Caenorhabditis elegans: one gene and its partners. The protein of the gene in region 1 interacts with the protein of each later gene in a pairwise test. Each region holds a gene or a part of one and is shown in the gene's direction. Other genes may lie near its edges.

The links.
Region 2: the proteins of vab-23 (region 1) and nhr-10 interact in a two-hybrid assay, tested with the Caenorhabditis elegans proteins (one large-scale study listed by BioGRID).
Region 3: the proteins of vab-23 (region 1) and eif-3.D interact in a two-hybrid assay, tested with the Caenorhabditis elegans proteins (one large-scale study listed by BioGRID).
Region 4: the proteins of vab-23 (region 1) and prp-21 interact in a two-hybrid assay, tested with the Caenorhabditis elegans proteins (one large-scale study listed by BioGRID).

Annotation. Positions count from the first base shown.
Region 1 is NC_003280.10:11,896,846-11,902,837, reverse strand, and holds vab-23 (C4H2-type domain-containing protein), read left to right. Parts: upstream 1-1,627; 5' UTR 1,628-1,642; coding exon 1,643-1,725; intron 1,726-3,834; coding exon of another isoform or gene 3,835-3,845; coding exon 3,846-4,005; intron 4,006-4,189; coding exon 4,190-4,374; intron 4,375-4,499; coding exon 4,500-4,722; coding exon of another isoform or gene 4,723-4,743; exon of another isoform or gene 4,744-5,274; coding exon 5,275-5,385; 3' UTR 5,386-5,473; downstream 5,474-5,992.
Region 2 is NC_003281.10:7,111,785-7,117,448, reverse strand, and holds nhr-10 (Nuclear hormone receptor family member nhr-10), read left to right. Parts: upstream 1-2,010; 5' UTR 2,011-2,014; coding exon 2,015-2,127; intron 2,128-2,742; coding exon 2,743-2,822; intron 2,823-2,867; coding exon 2,868-3,034; intron 3,035-3,517; coding exon 3,518-3,691; intron 3,692-3,736; coding exon 3,737-3,874; intron 3,875-4,229; coding exon 4,230-4,600; intron 4,601-4,655; coding exon 4,656-4,800; 3' UTR 4,801-5,154; downstream 5,155-5,664. Other genes in the region: B0280.7 (uncharacterized protein), read left to right, coding at 5,608-5,664. UniProt on the Caenorhabditis elegans protein: Probable transcription factor that acts in a feed-forward loop with nhr-68 to activate genes involved in the vitamin B12-independent breakdown of the short-chain fatty acid propionate.
Region 3 is NC_003281.10:8,969,133-8,973,341, reverse strand, and holds eif-3.D (Eukaryotic translation initiation factor 3 subunit D), read left to right. Parts: upstream 1-1,763; 5' UTR 1,764-1,765; coding exon 1,766-1,947; intron 1,948-1,993; coding exon 1,994-2,953; intron 2,954-3,000; coding exon 3,001-3,429; intron 3,430-3,471; coding exon 3,472-3,613; 3' UTR 3,614-3,707; downstream 3,708-4,209. Other genes in the region: R08D7.4 (Complex1_LYR_dom domain-containing protein), read right to left, coding at 1-25, 181-282, 354-654, 708-1,121; Putative RNA polymerase II subunit B1 CTD phosphatase rpap-2, read right to left, coding at 3,715-3,862, 3,914-4,063, 4,108-4,209.
Region 4 is NC_003280.10:482,955-490,897, forward strand, and holds prp-21 (uncharacterized protein), read left to right. Parts: upstream 1-1,911; 5' UTR 1,912-1,914; coding exon 1,915-2,020; intron 2,021-2,150; coding exon 2,151-2,439; intron 2,440-2,525; coding exon 2,526-2,685; intron 2,686-2,907; coding exon 2,908-3,277; intron 3,278-4,058; coding exon 4,059-4,338; intron 4,339-4,813; coding exon 4,814-4,998; intron 4,999-5,463; coding exon 5,464-5,669; intron 5,670-5,927; exon of another isoform or gene 5,928-6,010; intron 6,011-6,525; coding exon 6,526-6,723; intron 6,724-7,151; coding exon 7,152-7,325; 3' UTR 7,326-7,449; downstream 7,450-7,943. Other genes in the region: gldi-1 (NLE domain-containing protein), read right to left, coding at 1-148, 700-976, 1,020-1,095, 1,147-1,240, 1,288-1,424.

The DNA of each region.
Region 1 (5,992 bases):
AGACAATTTTCGAGCATTTCTATATAGAAATGCCCTAGATCTATGTTGTTCCAAGTCATTTGAAGATAATTTTCAGACTGAGCAAATATTATATTTTCCACAAAATTTTGATGAAAACATTGAGAGAACATGCCAAACTGCTGCGCACCCCTGATCTAGCTCCCCCAGATTTCCTCCACTTCAAAAAAAGCTCCCTGTCATCAGGAACTGACAAATCCTGACAGTTCTACCAACAAGTACTTCCCCTCTTGCACTTCCTCAAATCCCGATCACAATTAGCACGCAGGTGTTCGCATGACACCTCTAAGACACCTGAACGTGATCGATGGGGTCTTTTGACGCACATACCGCCACCCCACAAAAAGTGTCTTCTCCGCAACATTTGATCGATTATTTCTTCTTCTTGTAAGAAGAGGAAATAAGATGTGTTTTGATAGTGGTCCGAAGGAATGGGCCTAGATTGATTTACGAGCACTTTGAGGGCAGACGCCTTACTCTAATTGCATATCTCGCGGAAGGAGGGTGGAGTTTACACAATTCATTCACATTTACATTTCATCACATTCATGTTCGCTTTTCAAGGGTTACAACCTTGAGGACACTGCTTTTAGATAAGGAACACGAGATGGAGAAAGTTTTGGATTCGAATGTGTCCTACTGTAACATAATCCTTCGAGAGTGCTTGTTGATAAGATATTGAAACTTAAAGCTTAAAGCCACGTGGGAGAAGCAACAAGGTTTTGGAACTCTGTAGGTTTCCTTTTTAGATGTTCTGGGCTTAACTTTGAGCTAGCTAAATAGGTTTTGGTTCTAGCTCATGAATATTTTCATACATTTTAAGTTTTGTAGATGCTAAGTTTTTTTTAGCCTATGCCATTTTTTCCATTTTTAGCATGTGCTTTTCCGCTTCCTTGAGCTCTGTTGCTTATAAACTAAAAAGTACCAAAATATAGAGGATCTGCCACGTGGCATCTACTAGATGGATTTATGATTATTGAGCAATGTATTGGGCTCACAACAGTTTTACAATGACGATATGATATCTGTCACTTGGGCTTCTATGGTAGACAGAGGCGATATCATGGCGATATCAGGAACAACATTATTACGTCCCTAAGTAAGGATTTATGTTGAGTATTGATTTAATCAACTAGCACCTTTATTATTTGTGTATTCAATTAGTGCAATAAAAATAATAACTCACTGCTACCTGTCAAAATCAAGATAAAAGGTCTCTGTAACCGGTTAAAAGGTTAGATCTATAAATGACAGCGCATCTTTTCTATTTGTTTGTTGGCACTATTAATTTATAAACGTTAATGTTATAGTTAAGAAAGTGGATAAGATTACAGAACTATTCTACAATGATTTTGGGGTTATTTGCTAAATCCTTGTTAATTCTTAAATCCCATTGACATTTCCTACATGGATTTAGGAGCCTCTACATCCTTCCTCCTCATGTATATCCGACCCCGCCCACATTCTTATTGGTTGCCGTCCGGCTCTTCTCCGTTTCCCATACGTTCTTCCTCTTCAATTTTTACACTTTCCTTTTGCTGTCTTTTTTCTTCCATTTTTGACAATCGTTGTGCTTCTTCTCCAAAACTTTTACGATCTCCGTTTATAGATTCGACGCGCATCGATGACCGCCACGACAGTTTCGCCGATTTTGGGCGCCGAATCAATCTTGTCGATGAGCGAGCTGCATAAAGTTGCAAATGCAAAGTGAGTTCAAGTCTTTAAATGCTGCAAACTAAAATTTAATACTACTAGATTTAAAAAAAAACGGTAAAAATGCCCAGCAGCGTCGTGTTTTCTCTATTAGTTTTGCGCCATCATTTTTCAACTTGGACAGTGCATATTTCGATAATCTTCTATTTAATCAAGTTAGTTCCTACTGATAAATTTGTTTTAAAGTTTTTCGCTATATTTTATCTGTTGAACAATTGTTGATACCACCAAAAACAGCCAAGATAAAAGTTATGTATTAAAGAACGACAGTGACATACGGTAAATTATATTTGAATTAAAAAGGGGTTTCCAGGATTTTTAAAATCTGAATCAAAAACTATTATATCAACTTTGAAAGTAGTTTTTTTTTTTCGTTGCAAAACCCACATGTACCTTTAATATATGTACTAAAACTTTGACAACACTTTTTGCTATTTGCTTGAGGTTCTTGATAACCTTGCTTTAAGAGAAATTGGTCAAAGTTTGCACCATGTTCGGATTGGAGGGTGGCTGGGGTGAAGCCCTCTATTATAAGATGCATACCGATCCCTCAGAGGAAGCGGCTTAAATACAATAAATGTAGGCGGAGAAACAATAAGATAACAAAAGAATGTCGTGGGAGGATTCTAAATAATAACAAAGCTCAATATTGCGATATCAATCAGACAATAAACAATATCTGTCCTGGCGGAAGGGCAAAGAGTGCGATATCTCGCACATCAAGTTCCAGCCAACTTTTAGGCTAGGCTTCACTAAAAATCATGTAACCCGTAAGCGCGGCAATTTTTTGAAGTTCCCCGCGCCAAAGGTCACTCCCCTTCTTGCATAACTTTTTAAGTATGTACTAGTCGGTCACTTCAAAGTGATTTCGCGCCTTCCTCCACACGGAAATGTCCTTACAGGAAAAAAAACACAGAGGCTAATTGGATTTGTTGCGACCTTTTGCGTAACATCATACCGTAATCCCCCACACACATAGAAGAAGGAATTAGGGAATTAGCATAAAAATATAGGAAATTGAGATGATTTGGTAGTAGCACTTGAGAAAAGAGCCGCCAGGTGTACACAAGTGTCGGTAGGCTTTTTAAGGTTACTTGTAGTAGTTTTATATTATGGGGATGAGCTTTATTGTGGGAGTGGGGTCTTCGGGCTCCCACCAATCAGCAACTTTGACTACACCCCTTGCGCGTCGCTAATTGGTTGGCTGACTCTTTCAATTAAATTTCAAATTCTTAATTTAAAAAATAAAAACTTTGAGCATGATAAGGGGGTATCTAAAACATTCACGCTTCTACAGTACTCCCCAAACACCTTCTAGTATACAATATTTGCTTACATGAAGATACCCACACACACACATACATACATACAATTCACATCCGGTGTTTGTCATGTTTGTGTGGTTGTGGTGTGCCTGATTAAAAGCCATCTCTCTTTCCATCATGTCCTTTTGCTATCCAAGCGTGACTTTATGACCATCTTCTCGCCTCAATTTCGAATTTTGTGCCGCTTCAATTCACCGTGTAGAGTTGAGTGAAGGGGGCTTGGGATGGGAATGTAGCAGAAATGGTTTGGGAAAACTTTTTAAATGCGATATTTTATCGTGACATTTTTGGAAATCGATATTTAAATAGATTAGAAAAGGTTCGCCAATTGTAATTTCGGCAAATTGTGGTTTTGCACAACATTTTTTGAAATTTCAGAATTTTAATTTTAATCGGCAAAATTGTACGTATCCTATGAATGTTCCTACATCTATTTTGAAAAGTAAAAATTCTATGAAAATATCTAAAGAAAACGGGAAGAAATTTTCAAAAAGGCAGTGTTTCCGTCTTATAAAAAAATCCTCTGAACATTTCCGGCAAACTAATAACCGGCAAATCGGCAAACCTGGCTTTTTGCCGATTTGCTGAATTTGTCGACAAAAAAAATTTCCGAACGGAAATTGCCGCCCACCCCTGATTCAAACATTGAAGCCAGCACTTGTTGTCCTCGGTTTTTCCGAAAAATTTTACACTGACAAAAAATTTAATCTGGTTTTTTCTACAGTTAATTTCTAATTAATATATTCAAAAAATTTAAGCTTCCACAGTAAAGCAAAGCATGATTTCCAGAACAAAAGTCGATGACTACTTTGCAAAACGAAATGAGTTGCTCGAGGAGCTCAGCGAGCTGGAGAATACTGAAAAGTTTATCAAGGAAACTGCCAAGACTATTGACGAGTTGAATAAAGAGAAGGAAGAGCATTCGGAGATTATTCAGTTGATAAACCAGGTAAGAAATAGTTTTTTAAAAATAATTTTTGAGAGCTTGCAAACTTTGACAAGCTGTCAACTTTTTTCTAGAAATCTAAAAATCTACAAGCTCATAGGAATATATTTTTTTAAGCATTGATAGATAAATTTTGCCGCCTCTACAACAAATCTGCAAAGAACAGTGCAACACACAACTTTTTCAGGACAAAAGCGATTTGGAACGGGAAATTGCTGCGGCAGAGACGGAGAAAAAAGATCGAGAGAGCAAAATTGTTAAAAGATACGAAGCACTGCTGAAATTAATTGAGTCCACAAATGAGAAGCTTAAGGAAACTGGATGTGATATTGCTTTGAGCCAAGATGATCTACCACAGACTCATTTGAAAATGTAGGTTTTTTTTCTTGAGGAGCTAGAGTCAGAATTTCTTCTACAGTAAAGTGAAAACTTCAAATATGAACTTTTCTAAAGTATTACAGGCACCAGATTAAAAGAATCATGTTATTATATTTCAGTGAACCCCCAGCAGCTCCAGTCACTCCGGTTCTATCCGGCGGTCTTCCATCTCCATTTCCAAACTTCAACTTCCGAAATTTGTTCCAACCAATGCTACTTGAACAGCTTGGCAGTTTTTCGACAAATTCACCGACCCCACAGTTCAGGCCACCACCGCATATGGCTGCAGCCATGCAGCATCATCAACTTAAAGTCACCGATCACCAGTCACCGCCAATGAAGGTAGTTAAGAACTTTTTGTAGTAGATTGGGTTACTGTAGGTTGCGTAGTTAGGAAATTGTAAAAACTGGTATTATTGTAAAAATATTAGTTATTTTGGAAAAATGGTTATTATAGAAGTTGAGATACACTATGTATAAAAACTATGGTTAATGTGAAATAAAATAAAAATATTAGGGTGTTCCTACGTGTACTGTAGAAAAAGAGGTATTCTATAGAAAGTTGCTGTGCAAATATATAGACAAAATTATTTCAACTGGAGACGTTTTAAACATATGACAAAACGGTAGTACATGAGAAATGATTTTTCCGGCAAATCGGCGAATTGCCGGAATTGAAATTTCCGGCAAATCGGCAAACCGGCGAATTGACGGCATGAGAAATATCCGGAAAATCGGCAAACCGGCAATTTGCCGATTTGCCGAATTTGTCTAAAAAAAATTGCCGAACGAAGATTGCCCCTCACCCTTGGTACAACCAACTTTATTGTAGTATTGCTCCAGACCCTGTATAGTTTTCCCCAACATTTTCCCCAACAAAAATTCTCGTTTCAGACTTGCCAATCCTGCTACCAACAAATTCACCGAAATGCTCCAATATGCCCAATGTGTAAGAGCAAAAGCCGGAGCAAGAATCCAAAAAAACCAAAGAGAAAGGACGCTTGAAGATTATTTTTCTACCATTTTTTAAAAATTATTTTTTGCAATTACTTTGTGATCTCCCTGAAGACATAAATGAATATTAATGTACATTATTTCCAATTTTTTGATATGTTTTGGGAAAGCCATCTAAATGATGAGTATATAAACATAGAATAGGTGATGAGAATGTCAATTGACAGGTCCTTGAGTACCACGTCCTTTAGATATGTCAATCGAGTTGCAAAATGATGAAACTCATTCTACAATAGTTGTGTCTTGTTTTCCAGCTGCGGAGTGTATATGGGATCAAAATTTTGCTCCAAAAATTTGAGTCTAGAAGATTTTTTAAAATAAACTTCTTTTTTTTTGAGGTCCCACCGGGTCCAGAAATATTAAAAAATACAACATTTAAGATTTTTCTTACTTTGAAATTTTTTGGAATATTTAAAAACGAAATATTAAAAAAACTATTCAAAATTAATTTTCAAAAAGTAATGGCCTAATTTGAAAATGTTCTAGACTCATCGAAAATTGAGAAGTTCTAAAAATTTCAATTCATGATTTTTATATCATTTTCTTACTTTAAAAAAACCCCCATTGAAAAACACGGCTTTGACCAAATTTTAATGGT
Region 2 (5,664 bases), on another chromosome or scaffold:
CTTCTAGATAAATTGGTAGTTTTTAATATATTTTGCAGCGAGCACGAAAAGATCAAACATATTTTATTCTATAGAAAACAACTGAATATAATATCAGGGCTTGATCAATGATTTATAAAAATTAAATTTCCAGATTAGAGAACCTACCATCTGTTCAAGCATCTATTTGATAGATTTACAGAACAAATTGATAAAAACTTGAATTTAAAAAAAAAATTTCAAGAGGGCATAACTTTTTTTTTGAAAAGTTTTCAAGAAGTTTCATCATGAAATTCGGCGTTTTCAGACAATTTTGAGTCTAATAAAGAAATAAAAATTCGACTACACCACCTTTACATTTACATCTTTTTTGATCATTTGTGTGTGTATGTGTGTGTGTGTATGTGTGTGTGTGTGTGTGTGTGAATATTTCTGTTTTCTAATATTATGTCTATCCCCGCCGCTAGTGAGCTTTCTGTTGTTGAAATATCTAATAATTAATTGCTACCTTTTTTCCACTATCTTGTCTCTTCCCTATGCCAACTATCTCTGCGTCTCAATTTAAAATCTGTAATAATATATCTATGTCTGTCTCTCTCTCTCATCAACTCAATCTTTTCTCTGTCGTCTCTTGCCCTTCTAACTCTCTCATCACTCGAGACCAACTCTCTTCCCTCTGTCTCTGTGCTGTCCCCGTGGTTACCCTTCCACTTTTCGGTCTCTTTCACCTTTTCTATTTGTCCTTTATGTCTACCCATTTCATGTAATATTTCATTTCACATTCTGTTTCAATGATCATATTCAAAGTTCAGAGACAAAAATAGAATAGTCATGGGAATATGTGCAATGCGTTCAGATACTATGTCTTGCTACTTTCCAACAATTTGAATCTGATTGTATCCTTTTCCAAATAACAATATGTTTTTGATCTAGAATGTGATACTTTCTTCAGCACTTTCAATTTAATTAATAAATTTTATTCTTTCTAATCTTAAATCTTATGAGATATCTCAATTAAGGCAAATAATTTGTCTCGTTCGTAATCTGAAACTTAGAAAAAGTTCAGATACGCAGAGAAACGAAACATAAAAACGACGTCATCACGAGATTTGTTATCGTTTTTTTTGTGGTGAAAGGTGTGGAGAGACTGAAGATAGAGTTGGTTGGCAGACAGTATTTGTCGCTATAAAATTACAAAATTTTGTTTTTTTTTATTGGAAATTTTTTAGCAATGCGCTATATTGAACAATCCATAGAAGAATTAGCGGTTAGAATTATTACTTTTTTTTTCAATGTTTACTTAAAATTGAATTTTAAAATGCAACATTTATGAAACTTTATAATATATTTTATACGAGAATCACTGTTTTGAGTCCTGGCACGAGAAAAACTTTACAACTACTTAGCAATTTTTTGTCCATTTTTCTCGTTGTCTTATTTATGAGAAACTTATAAAATTTGTCACGAAATTGCAACATAATCTATTCAAAGCCTACTGGGTTTAGCTTGAAATCGCATTAAAAAAGTTCACTTAAAATTTTTTGAATTAATTTTTAAAAAGTACCTTAAAGAAATTTTGGCTGAAAATATAAAATTTCGAACTGTTTTGGAAACTATGTTGAACTTTGTCAATTTGTTTGATGAAAAATTAGAATTTTAAAAATTCCCTAAATCATAATATTTTGAATAACATGTTGTACTTTGAATGTAATACTTCGGAGTTAGATTTAGTGTGGTGTTTTTCAGCGACGGATTATTATTTTCTAATCTTCCTACTCTTTGATATTCTCTTATAAAACTTTGCGAATTCTTTGAGAAATCATGGATTTTTGAACACTCGTTATTATTTTAATATTTCTTGAATAACAAGGAAGGAAGCTCAGAGAAAAGTGAGATTTTGTAGAAACTATCTTTCTACGGAATCGTTATTCATTTTTAATCCATTGCATCTCAATCCATTCCATTTCCAGTTTCCTCGTACTTTGCATGTACTTCTTTCTTATTTTTCTAGAAATCTTGTCTTAATTTCAGCCAAATGACGGGTGGAGGTCCGTCATCAAATAACTCGTCTCAACCTGAAGAGGTATGCTTGGTTTGTTCCGATATATCAACTGGTTATCATTATGGAGTTCCCTCATGTAATGGATGGTTTGTTTTTCGTTTTTTTGTTGTTGTTCTAAACCCTTAAATAAAAAATAATTAAAGAGATTCTAAACTTTAAACCAAAAACTCATGAAATTAAATGAATTCAACTTCTGCAAAATTAGCTATTTGTTTTCCGCGAATTCTCATTCCGTTTAATCAACGATTTTTTTCCAAGAAAACTAAAATCCAATTTCTATCAAAAATCAAGAAGCTTAACTGAATTTGTAAGTTGAGATTGCAAAGTCATAATCAGACTCTAATGTTTCGCAGAAAGAAACGTAGTTTATTAAAACGAATTATGGCACAAGGCATAAACTTTTTTTTTGTTTTTGGGGGATCTCGGGAAAAACCTATGAATAAAAAAAGTGTTTGCATTTTGCACGGATATGGTGAATCAATGAATTGGAAACGTAGAACCTTAAAAGGTTCAAATTTATATATTTTTGGCTTCCATCGTAGGCAAGTCCTTAAGCATTGGTTTTATTGTAGGCAGGAAAGTAGGAGAGTTTCATTTTTAGTGTCCGAGAGGGACATGTACCTGGTGCTAGGAATATGGAAATTAACTAAAGAAAAATGGAAAATACAAAAAAAATCGGATTAAACTTTATAATTTTTCAGCAAAACCTTCTTCCGTCGAACAATCATGAAAAACCAAACGTTTAGCTGCCAATTTCAAGGAAAATGTCCAGTTGATAAAAGTTGGTTTGATGATTCTAAATCGTAGATTTAACTCTCTAATTCAGGTATCAGATGTGCGTGTAGGCATTGTCGATTTGAGAAATGTTTACAAGTTGGAATGGATCGAAATGCAATTCAACAGAACAGAGATCCAATTGGATATACAAAAAGAACACGAAGATATCCACCAATTAAAAAAGTTGAAGCCAGTGATGAGTGCTCACCTGCTATGGTAAATTTTTCAAAAATAGAAACGATTGAGCCATTAAGTATTTATGGGTTTCAGTTTTATGTATAATTTTTATTATAGTAAAAACATGTAACACTTTAATTTTGTCTAAAAACGAATAACATTATTTTTTCAAGCAGTGTCTCTAGGAATTTGTCTCAATTACTATTAAAATAAAATAAAAATAAATAAAATCACGATAAAACAATCCAAAAGATTTTATTTCGAAGGTGGAGTAACCAACAGAACTACCCACCTTTTTGATATATTAAAATACTAAAAAATTAAATTTAACTTTTCAACTACTTTTCAACAACTATATTTTCTACGCTAAACACAAATCATGAAAAGTAATTTTGGTGCTTGATCCTCTAGAGTATGCAAATTCCAAGGAAACTAGAGAATATAATTTCACCTGATATTCTAAACAAAAAATTCAATTACACATGTCTATACATAAAGCTAATATATAAATTTAATTTGCAGGTATCTGAAAATGATCGCAGTGAAGACAATTTCCTAACGTTATTATCATCAACGGAACAAAAGTGTTGTGCACTCAGACTTGCAGAATATATGCCATCAAGAACCCTAATAGAAGCAGTTGTATCAGATTGTTTACTTACAGATGAAGTTTTTATGGCTGAACACGCTATTTTGGTTAGTGAATTAGCTGGAAGTCACTTAAAAATGAAATAATTTCAGTCACCGCGACACCGAGTAACATCCCTCAGGTTTGCAAATCAATCAGATTATCATTATTGGCACGAACGAGACTGGTTTGTGATGATCGAATGGGCAAAGACGTTGCCAGTTTTCCAATCACTTCCATTCACGGATAAGGTACGCGTAGTTGTGAGGACTTTAAAGCGTCATAAAAAGTTTCAAAACTTATGAGAAGAAGGTTTCTAGTGGAATCCTAGATTTAAAGTCTGGAAAATCTGGAAAATGTGGGCATTAAGAAATTTTAAATTATTGCAACCTGTTCGTGTGATGTTTAAATTTTGACTAAAAATTCCGGCATCAGGTCTTGGAATATGCGAAAATTTTTACACTTTTACACAATGCACTTTTTTGCCTAATGATCGGGCAGCTGATTTTCTGCAGCTCGAGCTATAGAATATTGATTTTAGATTTAAATTGCCAATCTATTTTTTTTGTTAATTTTCACTAATGTAAGCCTAATTTATTCTTTCAGCTTGCTCTTCTTCGACATTCAGCCATCACATATCCATCATTGGTTCATGTATTCAATTCTCCAGATCATGGTCTTGACACGATTGTCTTCCCAGACGGTGCCTATTTTGACAGAACACCTGAACCAACTCGTCCTCTTGGATTCAACAAAAAGAAGTATCAAATGCTTGATCAATTGTTGAAACCAATGAGATCAATGGAAATTGACATGACTGAATTTGCTGCATTCAAAGCAATTTTCTTTTTGAATCCAGACGCTGATGATGTTGATTCGAATGCAAAAAAGACGTTGAGTGATGGAAGAAGTGCAATTACAAATGCTCTTTATCGGTATATGGTCAAGAAAAAAGGAGCAGAAGATGCTGGGGATAGGTTTGTTTTTTCTCAAGTTCTATTGCTTCATAAACTAAAATTCAAATATTTCCAGATTCGGACGTCTTCTTCTTCTCGGTACTGTCCTCGCCACAATGGCTGTTGAAATGAAAGAAGCAGTTCTTGTTGCTGATTTCTTTGATCAAATCCAATTTTCGACGTTTGCCAAACAACTTTTGTTTGGAATCAAGACTGAATAGGTTATGGAAACAGTTTCCATTATCGTCATAGCGTATCCATAAGTATAATTTCATTCCCATATCTGGTAATAACTCTTTCTCTACATTTTGTCGATATCCATCAACTGTGCCTTACCGTTTTACAAATCAGTGATATTTTATTTCCAACTCATATTAATTCTAATCACACCATGAATTTATTGTTGCCAACGGGTCAAAATCTTTCATCATCATCTAGAAAATGTTCATCTTCTACACCTCAAGTTATTTTTTTAATTCGCCAAATTTCCGATTATTTTCCATTGTGATTTGCAATATACCGATTTGTGGTTTTTAAAAATTGAATTCATATATAAATACTTCGAATTTCTAAAAGTGTTTTTTTGATTGAATAATCAAGATTTCAGATATTGACATTAAACCAACAATTTTGCGGACTGCCGAAAACGGAAAATACGAAAAATTTACAAAAAAACTCATTAAAGTACATAAAATCTCGGATTGAAATTGTGAATAGATCTGAATTGCCAAAATTTCAAATTTTTATCTAAAAACACACATGTTGGTTAATATTTACGTTTGAATTGCATTTTTGAATTCGTAAACATGTATAAATAGATTTTTTCATTTGTATAATAACATCCTGCTGTTTTTCATTTAATTATTTTAACTGACCACTGCACTGAAAGCTGTCTAAACAGTTCGTAAAGCAACACCTCTACAAGAAATAGTGTTGACAAACAAGAGACTACAGACCACACACGGTATAAAATGACCAATTGAAATGAGATGCTATATTGGAATATTTATTTCGAAAAACATCATATTATGAAAAACCTTGGTGCTGCAATTCTAGCTGTAATTTGTCTGCAATATGCTGATTCT
Region 3 (4,209 bases), on another chromosome or scaffold:
AGCAATGCAGTGTCGTAGACAACATCTGAAAAAGGAGACGTGAAAGAGAAGAGAGACACAGAGAAATGAGAAGACTTGGATAATGAGTGCCTGAAGCTGTTATTTGAAGGGTTTCGTTTCACACGAATATCATATAGAAAAACAAAGAATTTAACAAATAAAAGTATTAGCAAAACCTACCGGCCGCGATAATCAAATCCGTGGGTTCCTTCCATTCAGAGAAATCAAAATCACACCAATTGAGTGAGCGAACTGTTGCTTGATTGTTGTTGGCTGACGAATCTACAATTTAGATTCTAAATATTTTTAAATTTGAAATACGGAAGGAGTCGATTTTATTTCTCAAAAAATACCTTCAGTATCACTCTTCAGATCGTTTTTCGCAATATTCTCTTCTAAAAGATTCAGCACATTATCATCATAATCAGTGAGCGTCACACAACAATCATTCATTTTTGCAATTGCAATTCCACTAACACCACATCCTGACCCGAGTTCTAATATTCGATTGTACTCGGAGGGAATCAAGCGAAAAAGATTGGCGAGATCACAAGAAGCTTGCCAAACTGATAAGCCAGTTGTACCCATTGATAGTTGATTTACAGCTTCCGAGAATTTCGCTAGAACTTTGTCGCCTCCATCGGTTAGGTAAACCTGAAAATATGAAATTATTTCCATTTGAGCTGACGAATTGTTTAAAAACTTACTCTTTCCACATATTCTCCTTCTTTCATTCCCATTAGAGAACCAAGCCTGTCGAACATTGAATCAGGAACAACAACATTATTGGCTTGAAGTTCAGAAATCAAGTTTTTAAGAACATTTATTTGAAATTTGTAACGAATTTCATGCGATGTGACAATTTCATTATTGAAGACATTGTTGCAAAGATTCTCAGCATATTCCGAATCTTTTATGCATTGTTCTACAATATCCTTCATTAGCTGATCCGGAATTTTTGAAGCGCTACAATAAAATCTTTTGAACTGGAGTTCAGTTGTCTCCTTTTCTGAGTGGACCATCCCGCTCAGTTCTCCGTTTTCTTGACATTTTGTGAAAATTTTGCGTTTTCGTTCTGACTGAATAAGCGGTATCAGGAGGAAGGTATTCGGGTCTTGCATGTGGAATTCCGTAGTGTTCTGCTTGAACGATTCGCTGCTCCGCTTGATAGATTAGTTTGCCAATCACTATTGGGTCTTTTTCCTGAAAAATCCCATATAATTAGTTTCCACATCAATATTGAGAACGAGAATACCTGCTGGTGCTCTCGGAAAGCCTGACGAGCTTCAGTGATAATTTGTTGTCTCTCAACTACAGTATTTGTTTCTTCTTTTGCTTTCCAATTCTTGCCCAATTTTAAAATCTGTCGATAGAGCTGAATGACTCGAATACTTTGTGGCACTGTATTCATCAAGGTGGACCCGTTTCTGGAATTATATTCTGATTATGCGAGGAAATTTGGAGAAAACAAATAAAAACCAAAAATTGAGGTGGCGTCAAGTGGCGAATGTTGGCGCGTTTCGTGTACCTTGCGCATTTCTCGATTAAACATTTTTATTTTTACACGCGTTCTTGTCGGATTTTTCACATTTTTATACGATTTTCTGATTAATTTTTCTGTTTTGTGAATTATATAAATTCATGAAAGTCTTGTAACTATATTTTAAATGCTCTCGAATGTTATTGTTCCATTTCCATTTCTTTTGTCGTTGCTATCGTTTGGCCTAAAATTGCATTTCAACACTATTTTATATTTATTTCAGGTATGGCTCTACCAAAGTTTGAACTGTTGTCATTGGCTGATAATACAGTCGGATGGGGTCCATTGGCGTCGAGTTCCTCTGCTGATGAGCCTGTTCCATTCCAACAATTCAACAAGGCTGATCGCATCGGACGTGTTGCCGACTGGATTGGTGTTGATAGATTCTATAGAAGAGGAAATGAGAGGTTTTTATACAACAAATGAGTGGTATCGTTAAAACTTGAAATTTAGATACAATGAGCGTGTCTATGGATCCGCCGCCAACGCTGGAAGTCAGTTCGATTACATTCATGGAATGGATGAGCATAACTTCCAACTTGTTGACACTTCTAAACCAATGGCTCGCAATCCACAGCGCAACTTCCGTGTCCGCCAAATGCATCTTCGTAAGATGATGCAGAAAGAAAATGAGAAGCGTGAGATGGTGAACCAGTCAACGAATTTGAGAATGAAGAGAAGTATCGCCAAGGAGCAACAACGTGCCTTCAAGATGTGGCAACGTCGTGGAGGAAATGCTCGTCAAGGACAACGCGGACAAGGTGGTCGATTCGGAGGTGATCGGCCGAAGGAACGTCTTCCATCTGTTCAAGTTAGACCGGAATGGGTTGTTCTTGAAGAAATGAATCTTAGTGCGTTTTCCAAACTTGCTCTTCCTAACATCCCAGGAGGAGACGACATTGGGGATCACCAGTATGGAAGTCTTCAATACTATGACAAGACTATTGATCGCGTTTCTGTGAAAAATTCTATTCCGCTTCAAAGATGCGCTGGCGTGTTCTACAATGTCACCACAACGGAAGATCCTGTAATTCAAGAACTTGCTCAAGGTGGTGCTGGAAATGTTTTCGGAACAGACATAATTCTTGCTACTTTGATGACTGCTCCTCGTTCGGTCTACTCGTGGGACATTGTTGCCTACAGAGTCGGAGACAAACTTTTCTTCGATAAGAGAAACACTAGAGATATTTTGAATCCAGTTGAGACCCTTACTGTTTCCGAGACTAGTGCCGAACCACCATCATTCGACGGAAATGGTATCAACAATGCCAAGGATCTTGCGACCGAGGCATTCTACATTAACCAAAACTTCCGTCGTCAAGTCGTCAAGAGAAACGACGCAGGATTCACCTTCAAGAATGCTCGTGCTCCATTCGAAGACGAGGAGACTGGAGAGTCAGGAACTGCTTACAAGTAGGATTTTCGTTTAAAATTTTGATCTTTAATTAAACAATTTTTAGATACCGTAAGTGGAATCTTGGAAACGGAGTTGATGGAAAACCAGTTGAGTTGGTTTGCCGTACAGAATTGGATGGAGTTATTCACGGACTCGGAAATGAGACTCAGACTCTTACAATCAAGGCATTCAACGAATGGGATAGCACACAATCTGGAGGTGTCGACTGGAGAACAAAGCTTGATGTTCAAAAGGGAGCCGTAATGGCCACCGAAATCAAGAACAACTCAGCTAAGGTTGCAAAGTGGACTCTGCAAGCACTTCTTGCCGGTTCCGACACAATGAAGCTCGGATATGTGTCTCGTAACAATGCACGCAGCACACAAAATCATTCTATTCTACTCACCCAATACGTAAAGCCAACGGAGTTTGCTAGCAACATCGCCTTGAACATGGATAACTGCTGGGGAATTCTTAGATGCGTCATTGACAGGTAAGAACGAGCACATCCAGACTGGTAATCAATTTTTTCCAGTTGTATGAAGCAAAAACCAGGAAAGTACTTGTTGATGAAGGATCCACAATCTCCGGTTATCCGCCTTTATTCGCTTCCAGAAGGAACTTTCGAAAGCGAGCGCGAGAGCTCCGACGAGGAGAACTCGGATGACGATCAATAAAGTCCCCGGTTTCTGACAATTTCTTGTATTCGCTTTTCTAATTATTGTCTCTTGTTAATTAAACTTGGTTCTGATAAGATAAACTTTATTCAAAATATCATTCAACATTGGGATTTAATCGCAGCGTGCAAACCGGTAATTTGGAAAGAATCAAGCCCGCATAGTTCATTGGAAATCGCAGTAAGTTCTGGAGAAGCGTTGTCCTTCTTGAAGTAGTCGTCTCCAAGCTCAACATCGACGAGGCAAATCCTAAATTTCAACATTTTGAAATTTTTTAATTATGCATTTTTTAGAACTTACACAATGAAAAGAGCAATAACGATAGAATTAATTTCTCTCTTTGTCCAGCCAGTGATATTTTCCGAATCGAGTTGGAATGTCGAAGCTACTCGACTGAGAATATCACGACGAGTTGGAGTTAAATGTAAACGTGCTTCCAAATCCATCCAGCTGTAATTTCAAAATTAATATTTAAAATTGCTAGATAAACTCACTGATTCCTAATAGAATGCAGGAAAATATTCAATCTCTTCTCTTTCACATTGTACTTATCAAGATTCGGCAAATTGACCAATTTCTCCGCGTCCACCTTTTTA
Region 4 (7,943 bases), about 11 Mb from region 1:
ACGCAGACAGGTGACCGAAGCAGTGTGTCCACTCAAACAGCGAACTACAGTACCCTGTACGGTATCCCAAATGAAAATATTTCCGTCTTTTCCACAAGAAGCCAGAAGCCTGCACGTCGGGTCTTTGTGCATCGGTTGCCATGCCAAACTGCAAAAATTTTATTATAAAAATTCGATTTGAAATGGAAATGTTTAGTTTTTATGTTGAAAAATTAATTTTTGGCTAATATTTGAGAGAAAAACTCGGGTTTTCTGAAGCTTTCTGTTAAAAATCACATTTTTCCACTATGGATGATAAGTAAACTCATAGAAAATATTAAAAATTCGATTTAAAATACCCAAATTATTGGAATTCGAAATGGGTCTGCTAGACTACAAATTACAAATTTCGATTTAGCAGACCCAAGTGGTTTTGAAGAAGTTTGGGTCTGCTAGACTACAAACTACAACTTTCGATTTAGCAGACCCAAGTGATTTTGAAGTGATTGGGTCTGCTAGACTACAAACTAGAAATTTCGATTTAGCAAACCCAAATAATAGTGATTTTCAAAAGGGTTTCAGTAAAAATACATCGTTTCAGTGGGGTTTTAATGGAAATTTTAAGAGAACATTGTAGTGATAAATACAATTTTACGGCGATTTTTTGTAGAAAACCCAAATTTTCAAGACATTTCAGTGATAAATGCGATTTTCCTGCACCTCGTGATCCATTGCTTGTGCCTTTTGAGCGTTTTTCCGATTTGCTCTCCGGTTTTCGCGTTCCAAATGCAAATTTCTCCGTTTTTGCAAGCCGAAGCGATTTTCGTAGCATCCGGTGACCAGGCGATGCAGAGAACCCAACTTTTATGGGATTTACACGTGTGGAGAGGCAACTCGAGCTCAATATCCCAGATTCGCATTGTTTGATCGCCGGAGCCCGACGCTAGACCACGTCCGTCAGGGCTGAACTGAGCAGAGATTACTGGCTCTCCGTGACCTGAAAAATATATTTAAATGCGTCAAAACGATCAAAAAATTACCTGGAATGCTAGCGGAGCATCTGGTAACTGGTCTCACACGGAACACTGCTTGTGGCTGATAAACAAGCTTTAATGTCTGAAATTTTAAATTTTTTAAAAAGTTTTCTATCTTCTTTCAAGGGCTTACAGTCTCAAAATCAATTTCCTCTAACGATTTTCGAATGGAATCGACAATTTCAGCGCCTTCTGTGGTGAAGAAGGAAATCGGCACAGGATCGTCACTGAAAACTCAGGATGAGATACAGAAAATTCATTATTCAAACAAAACCTGCTCCCGAGAAGCTGATTACACAAAATTTGCAGCTCATTCGTGGAGATGTCCACTGGAACAAGGATTCCCGATCCTCCGAGCTCGTTTTCGTCCTCTGACACGAAGCTGACCGAGATTTGTGGACTTTCAGTCATTTTGTTACCTGAAACCGTTTGAGTTTTAATTATTTTGAAAGTTATAACAAGGGAAATCGTTGAAATTGAACTGGAAATCGAAGAAATTCGTTAAGAAATTGCGCTAAATAAATTATTTTTCTCAGTGGAGCGAAGAAAGAAATACAGTGGAAAAAGTTAGGCCATCACTTTTTAGCATTCATTTGTATAGAGAAAACTGTAAATTTTTTACAGATTGTTATGTTTTTACACAATATAAAACATTTTTAACGTAACAGCAGTAAAAACTATGTCGAAAACAATAAAGAATAGATAAAAACCTACCGGGAAAATTTGAATTTGGTCATGGTCGAGTTCTGTAGTGGCCTAGTAACCTCCACTTAATATTCGAAAACGTTTATTTTTCAGTTTATTGCTTTATTTCTCTATTTTTAATTAAATTATTAATTTTCCTGAATTTTTTGCGAAATTTACGAATTTTCAAATTATTTATCTTATAAATTTGCAGAAAATGACTGCAGTTGTCTCAAACCGCGAGGAGGACTCGATGAACAACGAGCCCTCGTTGTCAGGGCGTGCGATTATTGGATTAATCTACCCGCCGCCGGATATTCGCAGTAAGTTTTATAGTTTAAACCAAAAATAAAACAGTTCTGCATGGTTTTGGAAAGATTTCACGCGGAATTCCGCAAAAACTAGGGCAAATCGATATTTTCCAAAAATAAGCAATACATTTTCAATTTTCAGCAATCGTCGACAAAACCGCCCGTTTCGCTGCAAAAAATGGAGTGGACTTTGAGAATAAAATCCGCGAAAAGGAGGCGAAAAACCCGAAATTCAACTTTCTCTCCATCACAGACCCATACCATGCCTACTACAAAAAGATGGTCTACGATTTCTCAGAAGGCCGAGTTGAGGCTCCGAAAGTACCGCAAGCAGTGAAAGAGCACGTGAAAAAGGCTGAATTTGTGCCTTCAGCTCCACCGCCGGCCTACGAGTTCTCAGCGGATCCATCCACGATTAACGCCTATGATTTGTAAGTTTTTTAGAACTTCTAGAACTAAAATTAGATGAAAAAGCTATTTTTAACCTAAAATGAAGTGAAAACCTTATAAATTGCAGAGATTTGATCCGACTCGTTGCTCTGTTCGTTGCACGAAATGGCCGTCAATTTCTGACTCAATTGATGACACGAGAAGCCAGAAATTATCAATTCGACTTTTTGAAACCGGCTCATTGCAACTTTACATACTTCACAAAGCTCGTTGATCAATATCAGAAGGTAAAAATCAAGAAAATCTGCGTATTTCTAAGAATTTTTAAAAAAATCTAGATTTTTCGGTTGAAAACTCAAAAAAAATCCAGCTTTTTCGGTAGAAAACTCAAAAAAAAAACATTTTGATAACTTTTTCACTATTTTCAGTTTAAAGATGGCGGAAAAGTGAGCTTTATAACTTTTATTTGAAATTTTTAAGCTAAAAGTTGCTAAAATATCAGTTTTCAGGTTCTGGTGCCCTCTACCAACGTAGTTGCCCAACTCCAAGACGATGCTACCAACAAAAAACGTCTCATAGAAGATATCAATTATCGTGTATCCTGGGAAAAACATCAAAAAGGTCTAAAAGATCGCGAGGAGGCAGAAGCCGAGAAAGAGCGTCAAGCCTATGCATCAATCGATTGGCATGACTTTGTAGTTGTTCAGACTGTAGATTTCCAGCCAGGAGATACTTCTCAGCTTCCACCACTATGCACACCAAAGGACGTTGGAGCCCGTATTCTTTTGGAAGCGAGAAATGAAATGCAAAAGGCGGCGGCTGAAATGCAGGAAATGGATATGGAAGAGAGTGATTCCGATGACGAAGATGCCGTTCAAGGTGCTTTTTTGGAGCATTTTACGTTGAAAATAGACAAAATTCACTTTTTTCCGGTTTTTTCCAACAGTTTTACTTTTAAAATAGATGGAAAACAATGGCAAACTATGAAAACGCTGAAATTCAAATTTAAGTGCTTCCAACCTGGAATATTTAAAATTTTTAGGCGAATTCACATTTTATTTCGTAGAAAACGAACAAAAATCGCAATTTTGAGTTAAAAAGTAAGATTTTTTGGGTCTGCTAAATCAAAACTTGTAGTTTGTAGTCTAGCAGACCCATTCTCTTCCAAATCACTTGGGTCTGCTAAATCGAAATGTGTAGTTTGTAGTCTTGCAGACCCAAGCTCTTCAAAACAACTTGGGTCTGCTAAATCGAAATGTGTAGTTTGTAGTCTAGCAGACCCATTCTCTGTAGAAACTACTTGGGTCTGCTAAATCGAGTTTGTAGTTTGTAGTCAAGCAGACCCAATTTCTTCCAATTCACTTGGGTCTGCTAAATCGAAAGTTGTAGTTCGTAGTCTAGCAGACCCAAAAAAATCAATTTTTTTTTATTAGCTTTGGCAAATTTTAACTCGGAAAACTAATGAATTTTTGGGACATGTGAGTTTCTATCCAAATTGATGGTATGAATATCGATATTCTCGGCTGAAAGTGCAAAAACTACCGTATTCTGACCAACAATTATTGGAATAGAGCACACGTGTCACCCGAAATACGAAAAGTATTTTTTTTTAATTTTTCAAATTTTTAAATTAAAAATGAGTATATTTATATATTTTCAGCACCAGAAGCCCCTGCATTCACTGCTCCGCTGCCACCTACAAAACAGAAAGACGTGATTGTTCGAGATTACGATCCGAAGAGAAATGTGACCCAAAAGCCAAAAGCTGTGGAGAACTGGATCATTTCACCGCTCACCGGAGAGCGTATTCCATCGGATAAGCTCGCCGAGCACGTCAGATACAATACTGTCGATTCACAGTATAAAGAGGACAGAGATCGTCATATTGGAGAAAGAAGCACGGAGGAGCCCGTATTGGCTCTTGGAGCTGATATTTCTAGGTTAACATTTCAGAAATTTCTTTGAAAAACGAACAAAAGTCTAAAAATCGCCACAATAATCTACAAAAAATCGATTTTTCGTGGAAATTTTGTTCATTTCCGCATTTTTCGCTCGAAATTTGAGATCAGTGCTTCAAATTAGACCTGGAAAGATTCTAGCTCAATTTCAGAAAATTTGGGTTATCGTAGCACCAGAAGTACTCAAACACTGACTACAGCACACCTAAGCACCAAATTTCACGACAGTGGTGAATTTTGAGCTAAAATCGATTTTCAGGAGTAAATTAGAGTGCTAAATCTAAAATTGGAATAAAAATGTCTTAAAAATTGTAAAAAGTGAAAATTAAAGATTTTCAGACAAATTTCCGATTACAAATGCCCACAAAAGATGTTCAAAGCTGAAAATTATAGATTTTCAGACGAATTTTCATTTTTCCACGTGCCAATATCACTAAACCCCAGTTTTTTCTTTCAGAAATCTTGGCAATTTCGCTGAACGTCGTACGGATATCTTCGGTGTCGGCGGAGAGCAGACTATGATCGGAAAGAAGCTCGGCGAAGAGGACAATTCGCAACAAGGGCAGAACAAACTGATTTGGGATGGAACTGAAGAGACTCGGGATATGATTACCCGAGCTGTACAGAATAAAGTCACTTTGGGTACGGGAAATCTAATTTTTTGGCGAAAATTTTGAGTTTTCCGGGATTTTGTTTGGGAAAATTACACGATTTGTGTGGTTTTCTATGTAGAAATTTCTCTAAAACACTCAAATGTTTCAAAAATTCGAGTTTTCATGAAAAACCAGTAATTCAAAAAAAAAGCAATTTCCTCTAACAAAAACCGTGCCAAGTTTTGGATTTATGATATTTTCCATCTGAAAAAAATCTGGTATCTCGGCTGAAACGGGCAATATATACCGTAGTCCAAGTTTTCCCAAAAATTCCAACCAACAATTTGTGCAATAAAGCACAGTTGCCACCGGAGATGCAAAAGCTATGTTTAATTTTCCAATTTTTGGCTGAAAATTGAGCTAAAAATTTACAATTTTCCCGTCATAAAACTCACCGAAATTTCGCTTTTCAGTGTTTTTTATGCAAAAAAATTAATCATTTTTCATTTTTCAGACCAACAAATCAACGAAATCCACCGTCAACACGGATTCGTTGCCGATCCATCAAAGGAAAAGATTGGAGCTCAGCAGGTGCCACGTCATCAATCGACCCAGGGAAATGTGACAATTACTCAAGGAATAACGAATATTCCTGGACAAATGCCATCCGGATGGCCGCCGGTTCCACCAATGGGAATGCCTGGGATGCCGAATCAAGCGGTATGGGATTTTTGAGTTGAAAAATCTCCAAAAAAAAATTCGTTTTTTCATGTAAAATCCTGGAAAAATCGGATATTTCGACAAAAATTGTCAATTTTTGGACCAATTCTCTTTGTATTGCAAAAACGAATCGAAAAATCCCAAATTAAACATGAAAACTAACATTTTCAATTTGGGTCTGCTAAATCGAGTTTGTAGTTTGTAGCCAAGCAGACCCAATTTATTCCAATTCACTTGGGTCTGCTAAATCGAAAGTTGTAGTTCGTAGTCTAGCAGACCCATTCGCTTCACAACAACTTGGGTCTGCTAAATCGAGTTTGTAGTTTGTAGTCAAGCAGACCCAATCTCTTCAAAATCCCTTGGGTCTGCTAAATCGAAAGTTGTAGTTTGTAGTCTAGCAGACCCAATCTCTTCAAAATCCCTTGGGTCTGCTAAATCGAGTTTGTAGTTTGTAGTCAAGCAGACCCATTTTAAAATTAGTTAAAATTGGTTAAAAATCGCGAATTTTTGCTGATTTCAGAGAGATATTGTATTTCTTTCGAAAAATATAAAGAAGTGGTTTTTTGTGTATTTCTGTTTAAAAAAAAATAAGAAAAAGCTACACCAGGTTAGCTGAAACTATATTTTTGTTGAAAAATAGTGAAAACGCCACCAAAAGTTATCTTTAACCGCGTAATTAGACGATTTTTCGGCGGAATTAACTGGAAACTGTGTTAAGATTAAAATTACTGAAATTTCCACAAAATTAAATTTTTTTAAATGTAAATTTCATCTCAAACGGACACAGAAATTCCCATTTTCACTGGAAATTCTCATGAAAAGCTCCAATAAAATGCATAAAGCTCTATAATTCCAGCTTCCTCCAATCCGACAAATGGACTTTGGCGGTGGACCTCCAGCGAAGCGTCCTCGTACCGAAGATGATTTGATACCAGAAGCTGATTGGCTTAAAAAGGTCAACGGAGCAATTTCGCTTAATGTTCATCTTCCACAGGCTCCCGAACACGGAATGGATGGCTCAATTGTGCAGTTTACAATTCAAGTTACTGCACCGGTGAGTTTTAGATAAGAAAATTGTTTTTTTCCCCTGAACGAATTTTTTCACCTTTATTTATTTATTTATTTATTTATTCGCTTTTAAACCATTTGAATAGTAAGTTGATAATAAACATAAAGAATAGGTAAGAGGCGAACAAATATAAGATGACCGATTGGACAAAGGTCCGTGGCCAAATGAGGGTGGGGGTATGAAAGACTTATTTACAGAAGCTTTGATGGGGGAAAAAAAACTATAAGTGAGATCACATCATAGTGTCAAGGGGCAGGGAACAAATACGTTTGGTAAACGTTTCGGCTGACACTGGTTTACTGAACAACTTGGCAAGAGAGTTCCAAAAAGATAGGTATTTATGCAAAAATATTTGTTTGTTGAATGGCCCATTGGGAACCACCTGATGCCCAATTAATTCATAATTTTTGCAGATGTCCGAACTCAAACAACAAATCCAGGATCGTTACGGAATGCCTGTTGGAAAGCAGAAGCTGATGTCTGATGGCCTTTTCGTGAAGGATAATATGAGCTCGGCCTTCTACAATTTGGCAGATCGGACGGCGATTTATCTGCAAGTGAAGGAGCGTGGAGGAAAAAAGAAGTGATGAGCTATCGATTATTTATTACTCTTATTAATATTTATTTTCTTTCAAACTTTATTCTAAAATTGGACGCCAATTTTAATTCTTCAAATCTCAACTTTTCTTCCAATAAATTTGTAAAAAAACCGTTCTGTAAATTTGGAGTGGAAAATCTAAAAGTTCAGACATGGCTATACAAAATTCAGATTCAGCATGTCAAATTACCCCGGGACACTTTTTCTCCGGCTTTTAGCCTTAAATTTCAGAAAATTGGGTTACTGTAGCACCAAAAATACGCAAACATCGACTACAGTACCCCAAAACACCAAATCTTACTACACTGAAGAGTTTTGGGCTGAAAATTGATGTTTAGGGGTAAACTGGAGTGCTGAAATCAAAAATTAATATGAAAATTCTAAAAAATCGATATGAAAATCTTAAAGTCCGGCATTTTCAGACAAATTCTTGATTTTTCTTGGTTCAAATAATAAATTCGAATTTTTTTGTTTATTTTGTTCAGATATCCAGATTTTTTAAATTTTACTTGTTACAGGACATTTTCAGAACAAAAAATACTAGAAAAACAGAAAAAAATTGCGTTTTCAGTAAAAACAAAACATTTTTTGCACAATCTGAAAATTG